Linked DNA regions of Saccharomyces cerevisiae S288C. Changing the gene in region 2 together with the main gene of any one other region gives a genetic interaction. Each region holds a gene or a part of one and is shown on either strand. Other genes may lie near its edges.

Region 1 (11,928 bases), on a different chromosome or scaffold from region 2:
GTAGTGCATCCTACACATTGTGAACGTTTTTGGTTCATATTACAATATTACGATATTACGAATTTTACCCTTTCTTTAATACTAACTTTGATCAGAAAGCACCTTTATCAATATGGCCACGTCTGGGAAGTCGGTCATAATCAAAAGGCTACAGGCTTTGGGGTTTGAAATATCAATATACGAATTGTGAGACTTTGTTTTATCTTAGGGACGAAAATGGATGTGTGAAATTACTTATGGAAGGATCAATAATAGCAACGTTTGCTAATGTGTTAAGATGGCAAAATGCTACTGGTACGCCTCGTTGAGTATCCATCATTATTAATAGCGCCAAAATTGAAACATTAATTGCGGTTTTAGAACAACTTTAGAATTACAGAGCAAGGTGATAAGATCTCAATAGCTTATGAAAAATAATAATTTTTTAGAACCTAATGAACGTGTCGAAACTTTCCGCAAAATATTATGTACATCTCTACTCAACCTTCTATTAGGATCATGAGAAATGTGTTAAAACAGAAAAAATGCACCCTCATAATAAAAAACTTGGCCAAACCAAACCCTTTCTAGTACATCGATATGTATATCACACAATAAAGTCAATGCAGCATAACTTAGAATCGAGGTAGCGACTCCCCGTATTGCTCAAAATGGAAAATTCTATGGAAATAGAATTCATATGACTCTGAGAACTAAAGGAACATTATGACGAACAAAATTGCTATGATGTGAGGAATAAGATGATACAGTCCTACCAAATACCAAAGATCGGGTCGTCGAGGGCGGTATCATATCTAGGGAGATTTCTTTTCAATTAGAGCATATTCATTATCAAGTAACCACCATTTGTATTTTTTTTTTCTTCTCAAGGTAGTTATTCTGTTCTGACGTGCAGAAGATGGGCGTAGCATTGACACAAAGATTCAGTGGGAAACTATATATCCATATCTCATCCTGGTTTGGAAAATGAAGAGCTGCATACTTATATGAGGGAAAGAAGGCTAAACAAAATATACGTAAAGCAACTATCAAGAGCCAATGGAATCTATTTTCAAAATTTGCGTTCTTCCAAAACATTTATCCCGTTTGATGCATTAATGAAAATTATGAACATTTATTTCCTTACCACACGTACATTGGGTGCTCTACTTTCTTTTTTATTTAAGCATATAAAATGTACACAGTAGTAAAATACCATTTTAAAATATTATTTGAACAATCATAGAACACTACGCAGGTATTCTTCTTCAAAAAGATAGCTTCAATGTATTTCATGTATCTGAAAACGCTTTGTCTTGCCATTAAAGATCTGGTGGCCCCGACAAAATAAAAAAAAATACTGAAGGATGCGAGGTTCGAACTCGCGCGGACAACCGTCCAACAGATCTTAAGTCTGCCGCCTTAGACCACTCGGCCAACCCTCCAAAGATTTATACTTTTTGTTGTATCTCAAAATGAGATACGTCAGTATGACATTTTGAGATCCTAAACGTTCATAAAACACATATGAAACAACCTTATAACAAAACGAACAACATGAGACAAAACCCGTCCTTCCCTAGCTGAACTACCCAAAAGTATAAATGCCTGAACAATTAGTTTAGATCCGAGATTCCGCGCTTCCACCACTTAGCATGATTCATATTTTATATAATATATAAGATAAGTAACATTCCGTGAATTAATCTGATAAACTGTTTTGACAACTGGTTACTTCCCTAAGACTGTTTATATTAGGATTGTCAAGACACTCCGGTATTACTCGAGCCCGTAATACAACACTTTTTATCGTATTTCAGGTAGTATACCACATCATTATTTGAAGAGTGGGTGAGTTTTGAGATAATTGTTGGGATTCCATTGTGATTAAGGCTATAATATTAGGTATGTAGATATACTAGAAGTTCTCCTCGAGGATTTAGGAATCCATAAAAGGGAATCTGCAATTCTACACAATTCTATAAATATTATTATCATCATTTTATATGTTAATATTCATTGATCCTATTACATTATCAATCCTTGCGTTTCAGCTTCCACTAATTTAGATGACTATTTCTCATCATTTGCGTCATCTTCTAACACCGTATATGATAATATACTAGTAACGTAAATACTAGTTAGTAGATGATAGTTGATTTTTATTCCAACATTATTGTACTCAGCAATTGTTGCGAAACAGACAAGATTAAGTATATTATTCAAGGCCTTGCTTACCTAGATGAACCATTGAGAAATATACATATTGAGCAATACCTCTAGGTCCGAAGTTCCGTGCCTACACCCTTTAGTCAGATTTAGATTATATGAGATAAGTGGTATTTTGTGGACCAAGTTTGTGATTAATCTGATATCAAGTTACTTTCTTAACGACATTAGGACGCCAGGGTAGCCAGTATTATTCAAGTCCATAGAACAGCCTGTATACCTTCACTTCATTAGGTATATTCTTGGTTATGCGTTATTTAAATCCTCATCTGCCGCTGCTTAAAAAAAGCAGCTAAAGTGTTGCGTAGGCACTTCGAACAAGTAGTCAGTAATATCACCTTTTAACATCTAATCATCAAAAGAGACATTTTTTGGGATTAATTGTTTATAAAAGCTATGAACTTAGGTCTACAGAATGTACCAAAAGTTATCCTGTAGGATATAGGAATCTACGAAAGGGGCCCGATACTTCTATATAATATATATTTTTATTTCTCCTTCAATTTTATACGTTGTCATTCCTTATCCTATTACTTCATCAATTCTTGCAATTCAACATCCAATAACTTTGATAACTGTTTCCCATCAATTATGTCGTCATTTTACACTGTATATGATACAAGTAGTATGAGTACACACCAATAGATGATTAATTTTTTCCGACAATCAAATATTGGGATCATAAACACACATAATCGCCATATCCGTTAATTCGGGTTTCAATCACTTCGTTTGTCTATCGTATCGCAGCCTAGTGAATATTTAATTCTTTCAATAAAAAAGGCTTAAAATCACCATGAAAATCACAAGAGGAATCTTTCAACAAGAACAATAGTATACAATCCATGAATGAAGGAGTTCATATTTGACTAGAACTATACAAAGGTTTTGTACTGTTTTTACTGTGAGGGTAGCATCTCATTTATCCAGAATCTCAGAAGGGAGAAACCCAATCGCTAAATCGATATTATCACCCAGAAGTTTCAAATAGGCGATTGTAGAATATACACAGGGACAACCACTCAGTTTATGGCTTCAGTGCGCGCCCAGTTCTGGAGGAAAGCATTATCGAAGTAATAAAACTTTAAAAAAGCTCTCCGCAACTAATGAGGATTGCAGTATCCAGATACCCTTGTTTTCTGCCAAATGAACACTTTTACTATGTCATATAAACAAAAAGTGCCATTTCTTGGTACTGCTTCAGTCTTAGGAATGGTCAATACGTTATTATTACTTAAATATACGATTAATAACATGCTCTGTTGCGTATTTAGTAAGTGTGTAAGGAAACTGTAATATTACCTAACCGGTATCCCACGTGTTTCACGAAGGGCGCTTTTGTTGTTGCAATTATAATCCTAGTTAGGTAAAAAAAAAATACTTAATTCCTATCATCTACTAGATACAAGAAAGACGTCTCTGAATTACACACCGTCTCTCAAATTGACAGATTGCAAATACCATCTCTTAGTCCAAAGTCTTATCCTCTTACCATAGTAGTACATTGGTAAAGCAAATGCAGTAATCCCAAAGTTGATGACAGCTAAAGCAATGTAAGTATTTTCAGTACCAGATGCAGCTAGCCAATCAGAACAGGTAAAGGTGAAAATGCAAGATATCGTGTTGTTAATAATAGCAGTACAAACCATACCTTCCAAAACCATATCGGGGTAACAATCCATTAAATACGCCATCGCAATATCACCAGAACAACCCCATGCAAACCCAACAAAACCCAACCCGACGTATATAGCTTGCCAAGGCCATTGTCTAGCGGTACCGATACCAAACATCAGCAAACCCGCTGGCCCAATAATTGCAGTTGCGATAGAGAAGTATAGTCTAAATTCTGCCTCTAAAATTCCTCTATTGTGACGAGCCATCCAAAGAACAAAGTAGTCACTAACAATGCCAGCACAGATACAACCGATGACTGCTCCAATAAGTGTGGGAACATTCATAATTGCGACACCAAAATCACTATAGTTCCATGGAGGTTCGTAGTAGGCGCTTTCTTGAGTGGTCAAATAAAACGTCAGGAAAACGTCTTGAATACCCCAAAACATACCAGACAACCACACTGGCGGGAATAAGAACATTCTAAGGTTGATCTTTAGATATTTGAAATACTGTTTAAAACCGTAGCCTTTCAAATTAGTAGCTTTGGTTAATATTGCTACTCTTTTTGGGTATGGTTTCAAATGCTCTTTTGAACCATCAATCAATTCGCGAGTCTCAGGTATGGTAACTTCCTCTTCATTGTTAACTTCGAATTCAGCCGTCTCTGAAAGGTCTACACCTTTCTCACCCATGGCTCCAGGAGTTGATAATTTAGCGTCAAGATGACGTTTCCTGCGCGACACGGCCGTATTGTCAGAGTTTTGTAAAGTGGTACCGTCTTCGTATCCCGATTGACAGCTGGTCAAAGGGGTCATATACTGGCCTCTGTCGAAGTACGTTTCTTCGCAGCCAAATATAATAGTTATTAAAAGGCCACCAGATATGATCACTGCGACCCAACCGACCCAACGGAAGTTGGTAAATGCAGATATGTACCCAGCGATCAATGGGCCCAAGAACGTACCGATACTAGTGCACATGATATACACGGTCAATACGGAGCCCAATTGGTGCTGGAAAAAAATGTCGCTCAGGGACAGTTGCACCTGGGCTTCAGCACAGGACTCACTAATACCTACAAACAACTGAGACCATATTGTGTCGCTCGTTCTTTTGGCCAAAGCAAACCAAAGCGCACCAAAGAGACCTAATGTGGTGCAAACTATGTACGTAATCTTCCTGCCATACAAGTTAGCAAATGGAGCCAAGAATAAAGTGGACCAACCAATACCTAGGAAAAGAACACCAGCCCCTGTGTTCATGGAATCGTAGGATATCCCATAAATCTCATTCAATGAGTCTTGAGCAGCACCAGCGTCGTTACTAGTAGCGGCGGTAAACGCAGTTATAAAGGCCATTAGACCAAAATGAGCCAATTTCCTCCAGCTAGACCAGTTCAGTGGATCATTTGGCGAGTATGATGGTTGAGGGATTAGGACGACTCCTGAGGAGGTTTTCTTCAATTTTGATTCGTATATAATACCATTTTCCAAATTTTGGGAAGAATAGATGTTAAATGTGCCAGGAATATAGTCCGGATGATCCCTGTTGGTATATTTGTCCATCTGTTAAAAATTTAAGATTCACACTCGCAAACTTTCTTCTATAGTAGTTCTTTTCTTTATATTCGTTAGAAATGCAAAAGTTGCGAAGCTGTTTTGTTATATCCTGTAGATTGTAATATGATACTTCGATTCTTTCGGATTTAGTGTTTACTTGCTATTCTTCTAGTTTCAAATAAATAAGATAATAAGGGATGTCAACTTGGTAGTAATAGCATGAAATAGTATCGTAAAATTAAGGATGCTAGCGCTTTCGACAACAAAATGGGCTTGTTTTATTTTTGCAGAGGAGGTTCAGTAAATATTACCTCAGAGACTGATACAGATAATTCTTTCTTATTCGACTGCGTATTTATCTTTATCGTTTAGATTGAAGACAATAGACAATTAAATGAATCTATAGAAAGGTTAGGAAATAGTCTAAACTACTATGGTTTGTTAACGGCGAGGTCTTTAGTTTAATTTTCTGTCTGGAAAATAACTTTATCCTAAAAAGAAAATTTTCATCAACTGCAACTTTTTTTGTTATGCTTTTGTTCTCGCTAGGCGAAAGCTCCCTAAAAATATCCGTAGAATTTCATATGACACAACCAGGCCTTGATGTAAACGTCAAACTACACATTTCTCAAAGCTTAGAGAGCTGATGCATGAAATTTTTGCATTGTGTGGTATTATATGTGACTTAAGAAAGTAATTGTACATCATAAGAGAGAAAAATTCTGTTCAGAGAAGAACTATTTGAATATATTTTAAAAGATAAAAAAATGTCTTGGCAAAAATAAGTAAGTAATGAAAAAGAAATTTTCTCGAAGAAAAAAATGAAAAAAATGACTAAGTACTCAATATCCTTGATTTTCTAGTTTTCATTTTCCTCAAAAAAACTTGTCCACATTCATTCTCTGAATCGTTCTTCTTTGGTATATACTATCATGCGAATACGTCTTTTTTCTTTTGATATTAAAATATCTACAGACTATTTTGTGCACCTATAAAATAAATTTTGTCATGACTTGTAATTTTCCCATAATCGGGACTATTTAAGGACCAAAAATACACTTTCGCCCAACTTGCTGCTTGACCAGGACTTTCGATAATCTCCTAATTACACTAGCTAGTTTTTACTTGTTATGGTTTGTGCAGTTGAGATAGCTCAGTAAAATGGCTTTATGTGTTCTGATCTTATAATGAATCGTAATCGAAATCCACATATTTCATTCATACTGACGGAGAATAGGTTAAGCGCTGCTGCTATGGTACCTACTTTTACTCTTTGTGGTGTGCGATTAGTTTTGTAATACAAGGGTACTTCTGGTAATAAATATACAATTATTTTATGAAACTATGATACAGGAGGGCAGAAGTTCTGACGATAGAGCTACAAAAGGTAGTATCGACCTAGGAATTTATAAGGACTGTTTTTCTTTCAACAGCATCTTAGATGCATGTAGGGAAAACAACGATGCTGATAATGCAGAAAACTACTGCATACACTACTGAGGTGTAATTCATGTTTCCTGCAGTAACCGGTAGTGTATATGGGAAAGATAAAAATACCAGGCAGAACAAGGTCCATAGAATACATATAATATGAGGAATCATAGACATACGACGACGGTTAGGCCTGCTGACACAATTTACGTCACTCTCGATTCTATGAATGAATTTTTCCTTTTTAATAACGAACAGGAATATAAAAGAAGGAACTGCGTACGACATTAGTAACAGGGTGATGCATGCAGTGATAATTGCGTTGAAAGCGGTACTAGATCCCATAAATATACAGCCAATTATCGTTACACATATTTGTGACAAAAAATGGGCATATAATGGAGACTTAAACCCAGGTGTCAACACTGCTAGCTTCTTCAAGGATTTGTTTCCCAAGGAACCCTCTTTATAAAATGGTGCGTAACTTTTCCCGAATGATTGGAGGATTCGACTTTGCCAGGTTCCACTTGCAATGCCTGAAACAAAACCTGTTGTGATACACATACATTGCAGGAAGACACTGAGATTCCTATTACCAGTGGCCTGGTAAAATATTTCTACGATAGGTAAAATAGACTCAACGACTGCCGTTTGGTCAGTGATGCAGAAAAACAAACCAACGCAATAAATAAAACTAGTTACAAAGCCCACAATGATGGTAGTGATAATAACTTTGGGAACTAAGAAACGTGACTTACTATAACCCACTTCATCAATCATGTGCGTAGCAGAGTCAATGCCAACAAATGCCCAGATCGGATTGACCAAACCGACAACAAACGCCATTCCAGACGAATTCCAGCCTGTTTGATTATCAAAGCTCCCAAATATATTAGAAGCTTTGGGCCATGGGTCTACGGTGTTGTCAGATCTTGAAACAATACAAATAATGAAAGTCATGGCGAAAGACAATAGAGACGTATAGAGCCCAAACTGAGAGATATAGGGCAACGGAGTTGAATAAATGTTGAAAAGTGTCAAAACGGCATTGATACACTCGTAACCCACAAAAACATGCCAGTGCTTTAACTCGTAGTCCGGATGCAACAACTTATGAATACCGATACAGCTCATTGACAAAGATGAGCAGATACTTGCGGTAGTAAAAATGGCACCGAAATAGTTCAGCAACCCTACAACCATGGAAGAAACCTTTTGAAATTTAGAAGAAACTTCCACGTTGAAAGTTTGACAATAATTCTCGAGGAACACTTCTTCATCATCGTCAGAAGGGTCCTCGTACTCAGGGGTTTTCAAAGTGACTGATTCTTGTTCCAACATTTTAAGAACCCAAAATGAACCACCGCTGCTGTTTGGCAGGATAGCAGCAAAATCTCCCAGAGATATACCACACATGAGACTGAAAAAAGCAGCAATTATCAACCCATAGATGATAAGCAGTGGCCCTCCACTGGCAATACCAACGGCCATCGACGCTGAGATACCGACCCATGAGCAACTTAATGAGAACGCGATACCTAATAGGGACCACCAATTAAAGTGCTTGTCAAACTTGACTTCTGACCTTTCTGAACTAGACATTCTTATTTCCGTCCTGTGACGATCTGGAACAATAGACAAAAAAAAATTTCTTTCATATACAAATAGGAACACTGCCCCTACTCTGTTCATACCATGCTACTTATATATAGCTGATGAAAGCCTTGCAACTTTTTTATTTAAACTATTCTACGTCTTGTTGGGTCATTAATGACTCCACCGATGGCAGTTCATGCAACTCCATATCCTGATCATGTGCCGTAGTACATTGTGCAACCTGTGCCATAATATTGACACCGAACTTCTTCAGGGCCTGCACGTTGCCTTCATTCGGTTCCCCATTGAGAATGACCCCAAAAAGGTGGCTTCTCAAGCCATTATCGCAAAGATGATTCCAAGTCAGCAATGTATGATTCAGAGTCCCTAGCCCGCTGCGTGCCACGACAACTACGTACACTGGATGGCCGCTAGTCTCAATCAGATGTTTAATTAGATCCGTCGTAATTTCCAATTTACGAGTGATAGGAACGCAAACCCCGCCGGCTCCTTCTACGACCAATGGATTCTCTGCGCTCCACTCTTCAGGAACTACGAAATCCAACAACCTGATGTCGACATTAGGTTCGTACTCCATGGCCTGGAGCGGAGATAGAGGCTTCTGCAGCGCATAAGTGGGCGTGAATATAGGTGGTTGCCAAGTTGATGCGGCTATTTTGAAATTTTTCAATGTCTCGGAGTCACCTTGATCTGACTCAATTCCAGTTTGTACGGGTTTCCAGTATGCAGCTTTCCATTTGTGTACCAATAATGTTGATACAAAGGTTTTACCAACATCAGTGTCTGTACCGGTGACGAATACAATTGGTTGTTGTTCTTGTTGTTGAGATTTGCTGTTCATGACCTGTGCGCTAGTGATTTTTTGAGTTCTTTTCACTGGCCTACTTGTGGAAAAAAGTATATCTCTTTATATACTTCAGTAAACGAACTACCAGCGGGATTTTATTTTGTTTTGCCCAATAATTTTGAATTATAAATAGCCATTGTTTGTATATTTCATTTTCTTTTGGTCGGGAGGATGTCAACAGCGCAATTCGTTTTCTATTGCTAGGATAACAACTAATGTCCCAAGAAATTTCATATACACCAGATGTCGCGGAACTGCTAGACTTTGATAAAAAACATATTTGGCATCCTTATACGTCATTGAGTTCACCATTGAACGTTTATCCGGTAAAGAGTGCTCACGGATGCAAGCTGGTGTTGGATACCGACTCACCAGTGGACGTCGAGGTGATCGACGCCATGTCGTCGTGGTGGTGTGTTATTCACGGGTACAATAATCCAGAACTAAATGAGGCCCTTACCAAGCAGATGTTAAAGTTTTCTCACGTCCTTCTTGGTGGATTCACCCATAAAGGAGCTGTGAATCTAGTCCAAAAACTTTTAAAAGTGATTGATGAACCCTCTTTGCAGTACTGTTTCCTCGCAGATTCTGGCTCAGTAGCAGTGGAAGTAGCTTTGAAGATGGCTTTACAATCAAACATGTCAGGGGAAGCTACTAAAAATAGAACAAAGTTTTTGACAATCAAGAACGGGTATCATGGTGATACATTTGGCGCTATGAGTGTTTGTGATCCTGAGAATTCTATGCATCATATCTACAACGATCGACTCAGTGAGAACATCTTCGCCCAAGCTCCCTCTATTGTCGATGGCCTTCCAACCAGCCAGAACGGTTTCGAGGACCATTGGAATGCAGAAGAAGTTACCGATCTCAAGAAGCAATTTGAATTGCATAGTGATAAGATCTGTGCTGTGATTTTGGAGCCTATCTTACAGGGTGCAGGAGGTTTGCGACCATACCATCCACAGTTCTTAATCGAAGTTCAGAAACTATGTAACCAATACGACGTTTTATTCATCATGGACGAGATTGCTACAGGATTTGGTAGAACAGGTGAGATTTTCGCATTCAAGCACTGTCAAAAATACCAGGACCAACATGGCATCAGTCCTTCCGATCAGATCAAAGTTGTTCCTGACATATTGTGCGTTGGGAAGGGCTTAACCAGTGGATATATGACTATGAGTGCAGTGGTAGTCAACGACAAAGTTGCTTCCAGAATCTCTTCTCCAAATAGCCCTACTGGTGGCTGCTTCATGCATGGCCCCACCTTCATGGGCAATGCCCTGGCATGCAGTGTGGCAGAAAAGTCTATGGATATACTACTGCGTGGCGAGTGGAGAAAACAAGTGTCTGCAATTGAAAACCAAATTTATAGAGAACTATACCAGTACATCAAGAACCCAGATAATGGGCTCATTGGAACTGTTGTTAAGCGTGTGTCAGTTATTGGAGCTGTAGGTATCGTAGAGCTATACAAGAAGACAGATCCCGAGTGGTTCCAGAAAAAGTTTATATCCAAGGGAGTACATATCCGACCTTTCAACTGCCTGTGTTACATTATGCCACCATATGTGATCACGACAGAGGAATTGACGAAGGTTAATCAAGTCTTGATTGAAGTATTACATGAGTGGAAATCCCACATAAACCAATGATATACGATCTCATCAAGTCATTTGCCAAGGAATTCTTATTTCTTGCGTAAAATGCATTCTTTTACGCTATTATTTATATTGATATAACTCAAAATAAAAAATTTATGGTTATTTATTCTAGCGGACCTTTATATCTTACTTTTCTTATCATAAAACTATGTCGAAGCCTGCTGCACAAGAGAAAATTGACTAGTTCAGGGCAAGAACGTATCACAGGAAGTACGAGTTGAGAAATCTGGACCGAAATGGTCCGTGGTCGCCTACCCGCCTTCTGTGCCATCACGGTACTCTCTTCTATGTTCTCCCATTAGCGCTAGTTACACTCCTCAGCAGCTGACACATCTCACGATCCTATCTTTTATTTATTATGAGAAGAACGGAAAAGATGGGATATTATAGGCTCAGCTTACTCTTCAAGCAACTACTGTTGAACCGGGTCGTACAACTCATACCTTTGAACCCTCTGGTAAATTTTTCCGGCAGAGTCAAGATTATTATTGAGGCAAACCTGTAAATTTCCTTCAGCATTTGATTATCTTCCGCTACTTGAAATTTTGCACTATATCTTCCTCTATTAACCTATCCGCAGTAACTATTCACAAGACCTTGAATGTAGTAAACGATGTCTATATAACTTAATATTGTGTAAGATCTTACAAGATGTACTGGGCCCAGGCTTTTCACGGGGATCAAACCGTTGCTCTCCTAGATGAGAAAACGCTTTGCCATCACACTGAAGTAGCATGGGCAGTATTTTCCCTCGAATATTGTTATTATCAAAGCAAGCAATATCAGCAGTAGTTTTTATTTCAACATATAAGATCACCTATGTTGCAATCTCTGCAAAATTAGTAATGTTACCCTCCAAGTAATTGTATGACCTCTCTTCTGAAGGTAAACATTGCGCCTCTTTGTTTAAAGCAGCAGCACTAGTTTATCATGGTTTCGTTACCTAGGAAAGGATCGGTAGTGCTATGTAACACTTGGA
Region 2 (12,460 bases):
TTACCCACAAACACAGCAGATGTGCCAACTGAGTTCACCACGAGGGAAGGACCTCATCAGCCTATCGGCAATGACCACTACAACCCGCCACCGTTTTCAGTACCTGAGATACGAATCCCAGACTCTGATATTCCAGCCAATATCGAGGACGACCCTGTGAAGGTACGGAAATGGAAACACGTTCAAATGGAGAAGATACGAAGAATAAACACCAAAGAAGCCTTTGAAAGGCTCATTAAATCAGTAAGGACCCCACCGAAGGAAAACGGGAAAAGAATTCCCAAGCATATTCTTTTAACTTGTGTAATGAACGATATCAAGTCCATTAGAAGCGCAAATGAAGCACTACAGCACATACTGGATGATTCCTGAGCTCATACAAGCTATTAGTGATGAAAATGGCCTCCCGTTGGATGTATTTTTAGTTAATTTCGTATACATGGGCGAAAATATCATATGATTGCAAAGCTGGTCATGTAAATATATTCATTATAAACCAGACGGTAGAAAATCTCGTTTCTTTCCAGAGTGTAGCGTAGATTTTTGCGGACAAGAATTACCAGTATCTTCATTTTATTTAGAAGTTAAGAGAATCCGGAGGCAATGATGGTGAAGTAAAGAAATCTTTCAACGGCGAAGTATAATCTGTCTTCACAAACAGAATAACTGCGTACAAACTCGCAGTTATATGACCGTTACGAGTTGTATTGATTCAGTGAAGTAATAGTCCTATTACATCCATATGAATCCTGTCCTGGTAAACGGTGCAATGATCGCTCTACGTATACAAATTCTCTCCATCAATCGATGATGAACTGCTTTACACATAAAGTACGTGCCATTTATTTATAAATAATACCAATTAAGGGACGAAAATATTAACTGCTGAGTGTCTGCTTAGGTCCATTCTATTTCTTCTTTCCAAAAGAGAATAAAAAGAATCTATATATATATATAAATTTCTATCGAACGGATATTCTTGTTTTCGAATATCAAAAATGTAAGCTGTGGTTTCTCAGGGAACGTGTTACTTACAACTTTAGTTCTTTTAATATACTAGAAGCCAGCTCTTTATACAACCAAGTGTTCCCAGAAATTTTCTTAAAATGCACACCGGCTAAACCAACAATACGAACCTTGACGATATGAATTTCGAATTTGATGGGCTCTTTTTCTGTTGTAGTCATGCCTTCGCTACCGTCACCTTGTTGGTGGATGTTCTCCAAAGATGTTCCCGAATGCTTATCATCTCCATAGGTTTCGGTAATAGATGTTTTTCTCTGGTGAATGGAATTAGTTGTCAAAGGAGAAGAAGGTGAGTATTTATTAGAGCCTTGACGTCTAATGGATTCGTGGTGCGAAAGTGGCATGATCGATCTTGGAGTCCCTTCTCTCTTCGCTGCCACATTATTGGAAGAGAACCTTTGCATACAAACAAAACCACCCTTAACCTCCTTGAACTCTATATTCATTTTCCTCAGAACAAACATAATCTTGTATCTAACAATTGGCAAAGGCTTCGATGAAGTTGTCTGAACAGAAAAGAAACCCTTCAAAAATAAAGAACGGGGGAAATCGATGGATGGCATAGAACCGGCTGGAGCTCTAGAAGCTTCCTGCAATATCTCTTCATCTGTTAATTCCTTCTCCACAGATGGCGAGTTTATGTGTGCGTTCACAGAATGCACGCTGACGCTATCATTCGTCTGTGAAGTAACATTTCCCAAACTATCGGATTTGTTATCGTCACTTGATTCTAAGAACCCAGTATCTATAAGCTCTTGCTGAGGATAGGCAGATGAAGGCATTGGGGGTCTCATATATTTGAGTGATTCACGACGAGCATGACCAACTGATTTAGCTCTTGCGCTTGGATGTAGTTTTCGACCTTTTGCAACATTGAGAGGTGGTAAGGGATGATTCTCGTCGTCGTCGCTTCCTTCAAACTTCTGTGCAGCGTAAGCTTCCCGCCCGCTTCCTTTTGCAACTTCATTATTCTGTTTATTAATATCATGCAATTTCATTATATCTTCTTCAATTTGCTTCTCCCTTTGCTTCTCTACCATATTTTCTGCATCCGCAGGCAATGCTGGAAAGTCACCTTTATTGCCACCTCTGCTATCGTTTGTCTTGACAGGCTCATTCATGGTATAATTTGAATCATAACTCGGTTTAGCAAAACCAGGGACAAAGTCTGAAACAGCGCGAGAATGCGTCTTTTGCACAGGTTTATTGATACTATTATTACTATTAACAGATGTCTGTTCAATGGTCTTTTTACGGCGCTGTGATAATTTTCTAAATATATTCCCAAACTTCGCCTTTTCTGAGGGATCGCCAGTAGTTGAAGGTACCCTAAATTGTTGATAGTCATTTCCCTGAGGAGTTGGAGAGAGAGCATATTCCATTTCACGGCGTTGATTATCAGAACTTTTTCTACTCGTTGGTGACGTATGCGCTTGTTCTGGCATTGCTAACCTCGGTGGAATTAAGACATGTAAGGGGGGCTCTGTGCCATCGCTATTCTTTGGAGTGAATGGCACAGAGGTATCTTTTGTCGCCAACGTGGCTTCTGGCTCTGATTTCATAGCGGTTGTATTGACCTCTACGTCCCTTTGCTTCACACTTTCCGGTATTTCAGAAAGCTTTTCTATATTTTCGTGGCTCTGTCGCTGTTGTTGATTCCGAATTTTCGCATGTTTCCTATCAAGCATCTCAGAAGTCAAGTAATATATGGAAATCATTGGATGATATGCCCGAGTTGGGTCTTCAAAACTCTCTGTTATGTTTGGCGCGTTTCCGTTATCACTGGATTCTGCGTTCATTTTGGCCGCTAAAGTCCAGTATTGTCTAGAGAGAAGAACGTAAGTAGGATCTGTGATTATACTGACCAAAACACTTCTTGTTTCCTCTACATCGTCAATAAATTCTAAACGGTACATTTCTTTTAAGACATTTATATCAAGCATTTCGATAGTTAGGGGAACTCTTTTCGGTAAGTAAGAAGGAGGGGGACCATTGAACCCTCTTACCATCCAGTGGTGCTCCACAACCTGTTTAAGTGTGGCTCTTCTTTTCGGATCTACTACCAACATTTTGGATAACAGTGATATTACTTCGATAGATAAATGTTGGGGATATTCAACCTTACCTTGCTTGATCTTTTCATGTAAAACGCTCGAATTTTCGTCGTCAAATGGCACTTTACCGCATACCAAAACAAATAAAACTACACCAAATGACCAGACATCTACTTCAGGTCCTGTATAAGGATTCGCTTTTAACAGCTCGGGAGCGGCAAAATACAGAGAGCCACAGAATGTATGAAGCTGCTTCCTAGAATCATAAATATTTGAAAGTCCAAAATCAATTATCTTGATTTCACTGGAATCTGAAATCATTATATTTTCTATCTTCAAATCTCTATGGACGATGTTGTTAGCATGCAAATATATTAAGGCGCTCGCGATACCCCTAGCAAACTTTCTCGCTTGGTGTTCTCGTATTGACCCATGTTGGATGATATAGTCTAACAGCTGACCACCTGAAACATATTCAAACAACATATAGAAATGATTTGACAACGTGCACATCTCAAAAAGTCTACATATGTGTGGATGATATAAGATTTGTCCCAAGGACGCTTCTCGAATAGTTCTTTTGTCCCTAGATATTTCCTTCTCTAATTTCTTCTGTCTCTCCAAAACATCTTGTTCATTTTTGGGTGGTGGCAGCATTTGTTCTTTATGTAGGAAAGCCTTTGTAGCACGGTTTACAATTTTTACTGCACAAACCTCATTAGTGTAACGATGTTTTGCCAGCTTCACTTTACCCATAGAACCTGCACCAACTGTTTCAACAAACTCCCAATCTCCTAACGATTTTCGATGAAACTGCTTAGGCATGCCCTGAGAAGACGAAACTCGACTCTGGCTGGTAGTATTTGGCTTTGGTGCATTCTCTCTCGATTTACCTTCAAGTTCTACTTGTCTCTCCTTTTGCTCTGCTTGATGTGAGTTACCATTATTGGCGTATTTGATATCCGCCGGGGGCATTAGCGGTGTGTTCTGCTGCTGCTGCTGCTGTGGACTTTTTCCCATCATTCTCAGCGTAGCGGGCGCCATAGTGCTTGGTTGTGTATGCATGCTGTTGCTTTCACTATTGCCATCATCCTGCTGGTTACCTCTGCCCATTGAGAAGGCAGTATTTACGTGATAATCATCCATATTCTACGTGAGCAAAAAGTAATCGTAATAAACTGTACCTGTTTAAAAGAAGTTGAAAAAAAAAATGCGTAATAGCCCAAAATCCCTAGTATATTCAGTTGCTCTAATCGGAGCAAAGATGTTTGAATTTTACTAATCAATAGTTGGAAAATGAAAGACCGATAGGGTAGGGGGGCGAAGGGTGACAACTAATTATGTTAACTAGCCTAGGTTACCGTATGTCCTTATAATAACGAAGTAAATCTCAAAAAATTTCAAATCACAAAGTGGCTCTAACTAAACCTGCTTGATATCGTATCTCGCTAATACACTTCCTCAACGCCATAATTTCTTGTTAACGTTCCACCAATATCAACTTCTTGTCCCCTTTCTTTCCTTCCGCATTGGCGCCGCGTTGGGTTCCCCGGCTTGCAAATAACGACGATGAGTATAGCTTATTATGTATGTAGGTAATAAAGGCAAGTTACATACTACGATCCTGTGGGAGTGGTGGCAAGCACTACTAGACAGTTTCCATAGCGGGGTTACGTTTGCTCAAGGTTTTGAACTCTAGTTTCTACATCTTGGCTCTCCGTTTTCTGTTTCTTTTCGGAGGACTCTTCTACGTCCTGTAATGCATCGCCTTGTTCTTCTATTTCGTCATGCTCTTTAACCTTTTCCACGGGCACATTCTCCTTATCTTCACCCATATCTATATCGCCATCAGCATCTACTTCACCACTATCTAGTTTTTCCTTCTTCCTCTGTTCAACAGCAGCTTGGTATTCATCTAGTTTATCTCTAACCGGACCCTTCAATGCCGAGTGTCCTATATGGTCCAAAGCACTCAGAACATCATCTACACTGCAGCTTTTTTTATCTTGACTCTTTGCAATTTCCCTTGCAAACAGGAGCAAGTGGTTAACAAATACTGTAGCACCACGCTGTAACGCTAGTGATGCGTCTTTATTTATCAGCAGCTTTTTGCCGCTTTGCTGTGGCACTTCGCGTGCCAAATTCACAATAGTGCTTTTAGGAAATAACAGGTCCTGAATCGTAATGTTCTCTTGTTCTTTAATATACGAAGTAGTGGGGTAATTCCCTTGGGCGTCTTTTCTCCAACCTTTTGGTGGCATCGTGTGTAAAAATATATGGTCTGATATAAATAAGCAATGAAAGGCTTGACTTCTATTTCAAAGTATTAAATAATTAAAAAAATCCTTCCTTTCACCTAAAACCTCTAGGTAATATTCTGTGGCTTCTGCTATTGTGCCGCTATGAATAACAATTTTAAGCTCTGATGATCGAATCTGGTTTTTAACGTTATTCCAATTTGAGCCTTTCTTTATTCGTCCAAAGGGATAAAGCATTATTTTTTTTTCATCGCATTCAATGCTCATCGCAAAGTTACAGATCCTGAGCAGTCATAAGTTGATACCTTTCCTCTTACAATGTAGATATGGAAGGTTTCTTCAGGATACCCCTCAAGCGGGCAAATTTACACGGAATGTTGAAGGCTGCTATATCCAAAATTAAAGCGAATTTTACCGCGTATGGTGCACCAAGAATCAATATTGAGGATTTCAATATAGTCAAGGAAGGAAAAGCAGAAATTCTTTTCCCTAAAAAGGAAACTGTTTTCTATAATCCCATCCAACAATTTAATAGAGATCTAAGTGTTACATGCATCAAGGCGTGGGACAACCTATATGGTGAGGAATGTGGCCAAAAGAGAAATAATAAAAAAAGTAAGAAGAAAAGGTGCGCGGAAACTAACGATGATTCTTCCAAGCGTCAAAAAATGGGAAACGGGTCACCAAAAGAAGCCGTTGGTAATTCTAATCGAAACGAACCTTATATAAATATTTTGGAAGCATTGTCAGCCACTGGGTTAAGAGCCATTAGGTATGCTCATGAAATTCCCCATGTGAGGGAAGTTATTGCTAACGATTTACTTCCAGAGGCTGTCGAATCTATAAAACGAAACGTTGAATATAATAGTGTCGAAAACATTGTCAAGCCAAACCTTGATGATGCTAATGTCTTAATGTACCGTAACAAAGCGACGAATAATAAGTTTCACGTCATCGACTTGGATCCTTACGGTACCGTTACACCTTTTGTAGATGCGGCTATTCAGAGTATTGAGGAGGGTGGTCTAATGCTGGTAACTTGCACTGATTTATCCGTTTTGGCCGGTAACGGATACCCAGAAAAGTGTTTTGCCTTATATGGTGGTGCAAATATGGTTTCTCATGAATCAACTCACGAAAGTGCGCTGAGACTAGTATTGAACTTACTAAAGCAAACTGCCGCGAAATACAAGAAAACTGTGGAACCGCTTTTGTCGTTGAGCATTGACTTTTACGTCAGAGTTTTTGTCAAAGTCAAAACAAGCCCGATTGAAGTCAAAAACGTTATGTCAAGTACTATGACTACTTACCATTGTTCCCGTTGCGGCTCTTACCACAATCAACCTCTGGGCAGAATTTCTCAACGCGAAGGTAGGAACAACAAAACATTCACCAAATACTCGGTTGCGCAAGGGCCTCCGGTTGATACTAAATGTAAGTTCTGCGAGGGGACATACCATTTAGCTGGTCCAATGTATGCAGGACCTCTACACAACAAGGAGTTCATCGAGGAGGTGTTGAGAATTAATAAAGAAGAGCATCGTGACCAGGATGATACATATGGAACACGTAAAAGAATTGAAGGTATGCTATCTCTAGCTAAGAATGAATTATCCGATTCGCCATTCTATTTCAGTCCTAACCATATTGCATCGGTAATAAAATTACAAGTACCTCCCTTGAAAAAAGTAGTCGCAGGCCTAGGTTCCCTAGGCTTTGAATGTTCATTGACACATGCCCAACCATCGTCCCTAAAGACTAACGCTCCATGGGATGCAATCTGGTATGTGATGCAGAAATGTGATGATGAGAAGAAAGACTTAAGCAAAATGAATCCAAATACTACGGGCTATAAGATTTTATCGGCAATGCCAGGATGGTTGAGTGGCACTGTCAAATCAGAGTATGACTCAAAGCTGTCGTTCGCACCAAATGAACAAAGCGGTAATATTGAAAAACTAAGGAAGCTAAAAATTGTGAGATATCAGGAAAATCCAACAAAGAATTGGGGCCCAAAAGCCCGTCCCAACACTTCATAAGAATTTTGATTAGTGTTAGAGCTAAAACGTAAGAAACTAAGGATCCGCCCGAGAACGGTATAATGGACGGAAAAGAATGCTTCTCTTTTGTAATATAGATGTTTAAAGTAATCAGGAGGGCAGTATGTATGTGTAAAAAATAAATAAATATATATATATATTTGAGGAACCAGATCTCAAATGAAAAATATAAGCCAGTATATTTTTTGCATTGTAGCCACTGTTGTAACCTCTGGGCATATAAATAATAATGTATAGCGCCTAGTATCAAACTAAACTCGCCATGTTGGTAGTGTTACACTCATTTTTAGCAAATTTTTTTTTCTTATCAAACTCATGCTTTTCTTGCCTTACTAAAGAAGTATACAGCACCAGGCCAACCTAAACAAACGCTCAATACTGCACTCCATTGAAAGATTTCTGGAATGAGCCTTCTACCTTCCGTAATTACCCACGATTCACCTATTCTACCGCCTGTATACCTCTTGATTGGGGCAGCACGAGCGGAAGATCTCAAAACTTGGCTGAAGAACATTTTACCTATTTAGAATTAAAAGAGTCTGTAAATATCTGTGATATGGTCAAGTGTCTAAAAAGTACAGACAAGGAAACGAAATAAAAAAAGAATTGTTTCGTCATGCAAGAGGAAAGTATGAAAGAAAAATGACTGGCTTATATATTAAGTGTCATTTAGTCGGAGAAAACACTATCATAAACAAAACCATGTTTTCTTTGGTTGCCTACTGATAGAGGGGTTTCCGCTTGCTGCATTTTCAGCAAGTAAAAATCAAGCTATTCTGGCCATTCATTTCTTGCACGGATACCATATCCCCTTGTTCACTCTTCTATTCTTCCCCCGCCCCATACGATCATTTTTCAGATCCCGCCTTTGTGCGGTCACCACAATGATTGAAGTTCCCTGCATCTTTATCTAAGCGACAAAAGTATTATCGGGTTTAAGAAAAAAGAAAAAAAGTATTTGTATTATTTAAAGTATACATTTTCATCTACCGGTTCAAGATAGTGACAAACAATTTTGACTACGACAATGGATTCTGTTGAAAATGAATATTGCTACGACAGTAATCGTAAAAAAAAGGGTAGAGAGTTTGAATACGTTTCGACATGCTTGTAAATAACACTCAATCAAAGTTTGAAAAACAAACTTTGGGGCTGATTCGTGTACCCAATCTGAAGATTCCGTAGCGTGCTTGATAATTTTCAAAAGGTCCTTTTTAAGATAACCTTGCTTGCTAAATGGCATCACCTTCTCATGCATAAGTTTTATTAATGTTTTGTGGAAGACATAACCACCCAAGGAAATACCAACCGTCCCCCCCACGGCACCGAAACAATATACGATAGAACCACTGATAGGTGACTTTCTTTGTTCATGGTACTCATGATAAAGATTTGACAGCAAGGTCAATATCATAGAGGAGCCCAAAAATGGCAGAGACAAACATATATATTGCTTCCATACTGGTAAATTCAAACTTACCCCCATAAGTGCCACATATAGTAACAGGGTGGCTCCGCTTAAAACAAATTTTAGCAAAAAATTCTGTCCTTTCGACTTCCAAAAATAAGAAACACTAAAGTAACCCAGTACAATGGAGAAAAAGAATGGGGACAATCTCTCTGCAAGTTGTAAAGTGCTTAAATTTAAAACAATGATGAAGTACGTTGTACCGAATGGGATGATGCACATTAATGCTGCAAAGCAAAATGAAATTCCTATCATTGTCCATATTAAACGCTTGTCACCTTGTAAGGACATTGAAATTACAGAGTTCATGTAAGTATCGCTTGTCTCTATCAAGAAAAATAAAATGCCACAAACGATAATTACAGAAAATAGTAGCGCTTGAATCATCGTATTATTCTTTAACCCTGTTAAATCCAATGAGGTCACTTGAACGAAACAAAGTAGGAATAGCGTAAGTGTCAATATTTCGTATAAATCAGGACTTAATAGAGTATTCTTGAATCTTTTCCATAATGTAGGCGTTGGGCGTCCATATAAAGTGCTCTTAACAGAATACATATCTGCCAGCATAATCGAGGCATTCACAAGGCAAAAAGGAACTGGTATTAAGAAGGCATTTCTCCACCCGCTACCATGAGAAGAATCAAACAAGTTCATCATAAAGGGCCCAATTACCACACCCATAGCAAATGTTATCATAGAGGCACTCAATGAGTACCGACTGTCGTTCTTTTGAGAAAACCGATTCATAATAGTACTTTTGAGCGCTATTAAGGAACCGCCCCCAAATCCTGTGACACAACGGGCAAAGATAAACGTCCAAAAATGGGCAGAACTCCAAGATAAATAGCCACCAAGGATAAAACTGAATTGAGCAATACACAACAACAATTTTACACTGGATATTAAAGATAGCTTCAAAAATACCAGTTGCCCAATAGCATTACTCAATAGGTATGCTGAGATGACTAAGGATAATCTCCATAACTCATGAAACTCCGAAGCAATTTTGGACGCAATTACTAGGATTATAGAACTGTCCATTGCAATAAAGAATAAATAAGTACACATACAGGATGAAAATATCCGTCTTCTCGTCAGATCATGTACAAGTTCATCAGATGATGTATTTTCGACATAAGGAGGATTCAATCCGTTCTCTACATCCCCGATGCTCTGGGGTATAGAGCCATATCCATATGAAGTGATTTCATCTCCGCTGACTGGTACTTCAGGAGATGGTGCAACAATGTGCAAAGATTTACTACTTGACGTCTGGTTATCTGCCTGCACTACAGGCATATCATCAGCTCTTTCAAACGAATTTGAGGAAGATACTGGTAGCTCGTGCTCACTCATCGGAGTATTGCAGCTGGTAATACTTTGCAATGGTGATACTGATCTATCACTAAAATCTGTAATAGAGCTTTGCAAAGCTGAATTTCCACATGCTTCATGTTGTGAAGGCGGCTTAAGATCGTCTTCATTAGCCTTGTCCGCAGGTTTTCCTTTAATGCTATTGACCTCATCTTGGGGCGAGTCATCAATTTTTGGGCCTTCGTGAAGAGGCTGTGCATCAATGGTATCAATATCAACCGCTTTCGGAATTGATACCTCCTCTTGTTTACTAGGAGCTGATAATAATGGACTATTTTCGTTAATCTCTTCGATTTTGTCGTTTCCTAAAGCAATTTGATTCGAAGTTCTTGGGACTTTAGCCTCTCGTTGAACCTCATTCTTCAATGTTTGCACGCTCTTTCTCAAGTTTCGCTGCCTGTTTTTCAATTTAGCAAACTCACGCAGTTTCTTGCGCTGTCTATCCTTCTTCCCCATCTCTACTTAACCGACGTCAATTACCTTGAAAATGTAAAAAAAAAGTAATCAAAAGTAGCAAAAATCTGAGTAAACTGACACTTCGGCTATTCTATATAGTATATCAGCTAAATTATCTTAAGATAAGCAATAAAAAGTGAGATAACGATGAAAAAAAAAAAAAAGACTTGACACAATTGACTCCATTTTGAGATTGCGGGCCCTTGAAATTTTTTTTTTTTCTCAGTACACCACAGGCGGGTTCCAAACTTCTTCATAGTGCGCCATACAAAAGAAAAGTCTTGGGAGATGATGCATACGCTATTTACGCTTACATTTCATTACTACTATTATTGGTGATCATTATGCAAATACTAAAAAAAAGCTACTCGTCATCTGTCTATGTGTCAAACATTTTGTTTTTCTTTTGGAAACACTAGGGATGCGCTTCTTCCATCCACCGATACCTTCGCGGTGCATGCTATGAAATCATCATTTTCCCTATTCTCCCTGATGTAAGCAGGAATAGCTATTGTGCCATCATCTTCCTCGTTTTCATAGTTTTCTCCCCTATAATCGGTGACGTGGCTACTATGATAGTTACTATCTGACAATCCAATATCCCGAAGCAAGCTATGGACCCTATTCGGCACAAACCTTGTACTGCTCAACCTATAGCTCTTGAATAGCGCCGGAATCTTGACTGACGATTCCTTTGATATAATGCCTAAATTCTCATCTTTCAGAGTACCTATATATAGTTTCTTTTTGTTTTCTTCTGAGAAAGGTTCTTGAGCACTGTTGTGTTTTGTTACCTGAATAAGGTAGACTATGTAATTATGCTTTGGTAATTTTATGGCATCAAGCAAATTTATTTGCGAAGATGGATATTTTTGCGCAAAAACATCCGTTTTTAAATCAACCAGAATATGCTGTTGAATATGAGAATTAACATTACTTTGTGCAATATCTTTTTCCATATCAGACATGCTGTTAATTAGGTCTCTATAAAGTTTCACGTCGATTATTGAGCTAGGTTCCGTACCTTTTTTAGATAAGATTCTGTCAAAGTAACTTAGTAAATCGTATCCAAAGTAAAGATCATCCTCAAATTGAAATTTCAGTTTATAATCTTCATCTAGCGCTTCATGAAGTCTGTCGTTGAACCATATGAAAAACTTCTCAAAAAGTGTTTCGTCCCTCCCCAAGCCTATTATTGAATTTAATGTCATAGTTAACAATTTCTGTGAACTTTTTAGGAGCACTTCAACAGCTGTCAAATCTGACGTATAACTGAGCTTATTCTGTATAGAAAAGGCTTGTAATATTGCCCTTAACTTCTCCACATAAATAATGATTCTTTCACATGCGGGTACAAATATTAAAGTTAAAATCTGAACAGTTTTTTGGTAAGCTTCACAACCTAAATACTTCCACCTTTTAAAGTTCTTCTCACCTACTGAATTGCAAAGCCAGTCTTCCAAGTCACATGAGATCTCTCCAAGTAAAAAGAGGGCTTCTAATTCCGATTTGAGTTTGCCATATCCGTAGGCTTCATCACACAATCTTTTGACGAAATCTAAATAAGGTGTTGCCAGTTCCCGGTTAATGAACTCGAGATGAGTAAGCATATAACCTATAAGCTCTTTTATTACCATTATATAATTCAGCAGGTTCACTGATGATTTGCTCTGTAATAAAGGTCCTAAATTTAAAGTTTGTACAGTTCCATCCTCATAGAAGCACTGGTAAAAGCCATCTTGAACTTTGATAATTGATTTT

The links.
Region 1: mutations in VBA4 (region 2) and HOL1 together harm fitness more than expected from each alone (negative genetic interaction), as found in Saccharomyces cerevisiae (one large-scale study listed by BioGRID).

What each region holds. Positions count from the first base shown.
Region 1 is NC_001146.8:724,794-736,721, forward strand, and holds HOL1 (Hol1p), read right to left. Parts: upstream 5,394-11,928; coding exon 3,633-5,393; downstream 1-3,632. Other genes in the region: BIO5 (Bio5p), read right to left, coding at 6,825-8,510; BIO4 (dethiobiotin synthase), read right to left, coding at 8,563-9,276; BIO3 (adenosylmethionine-8-amino-7-oxononanoate transaminase), read left to right, coding at 9,498-10,940. UniProt on the Saccharomyces cerevisiae protein: Seems to be involved in the uptake of several cations and of histidinol.
Region 2 is NC_001136.10:686,466-698,925, reverse strand, and holds VBA4 (Vba4p), read right to left. Parts: upstream 10,700-12,460; coding exon 8,393-10,699; downstream 1-8,392. Other genes in the region: INO2 (Ino2p), read left to right, coding at 1-372; serine/threonine protein kinase KIN1, read right to left, coding at 1,032-4,226; DPB4 (DNA polymerase epsilon noncatalytic subunit), read right to left, coding at 4,751-5,341; TRM1 (tRNA (guanine26-N2)-dimethyltransferase), read left to right, coding at 5,665-7,377; COX26 (Cox26p), read right to left, coding at 7,712-7,912; APC4 (anaphase promoting complex subunit 4), read right to left, coding at 11,086-12,460. UniProt on the Saccharomyces cerevisiae protein: Transporter required for vacuolar uptake of basic amino acids.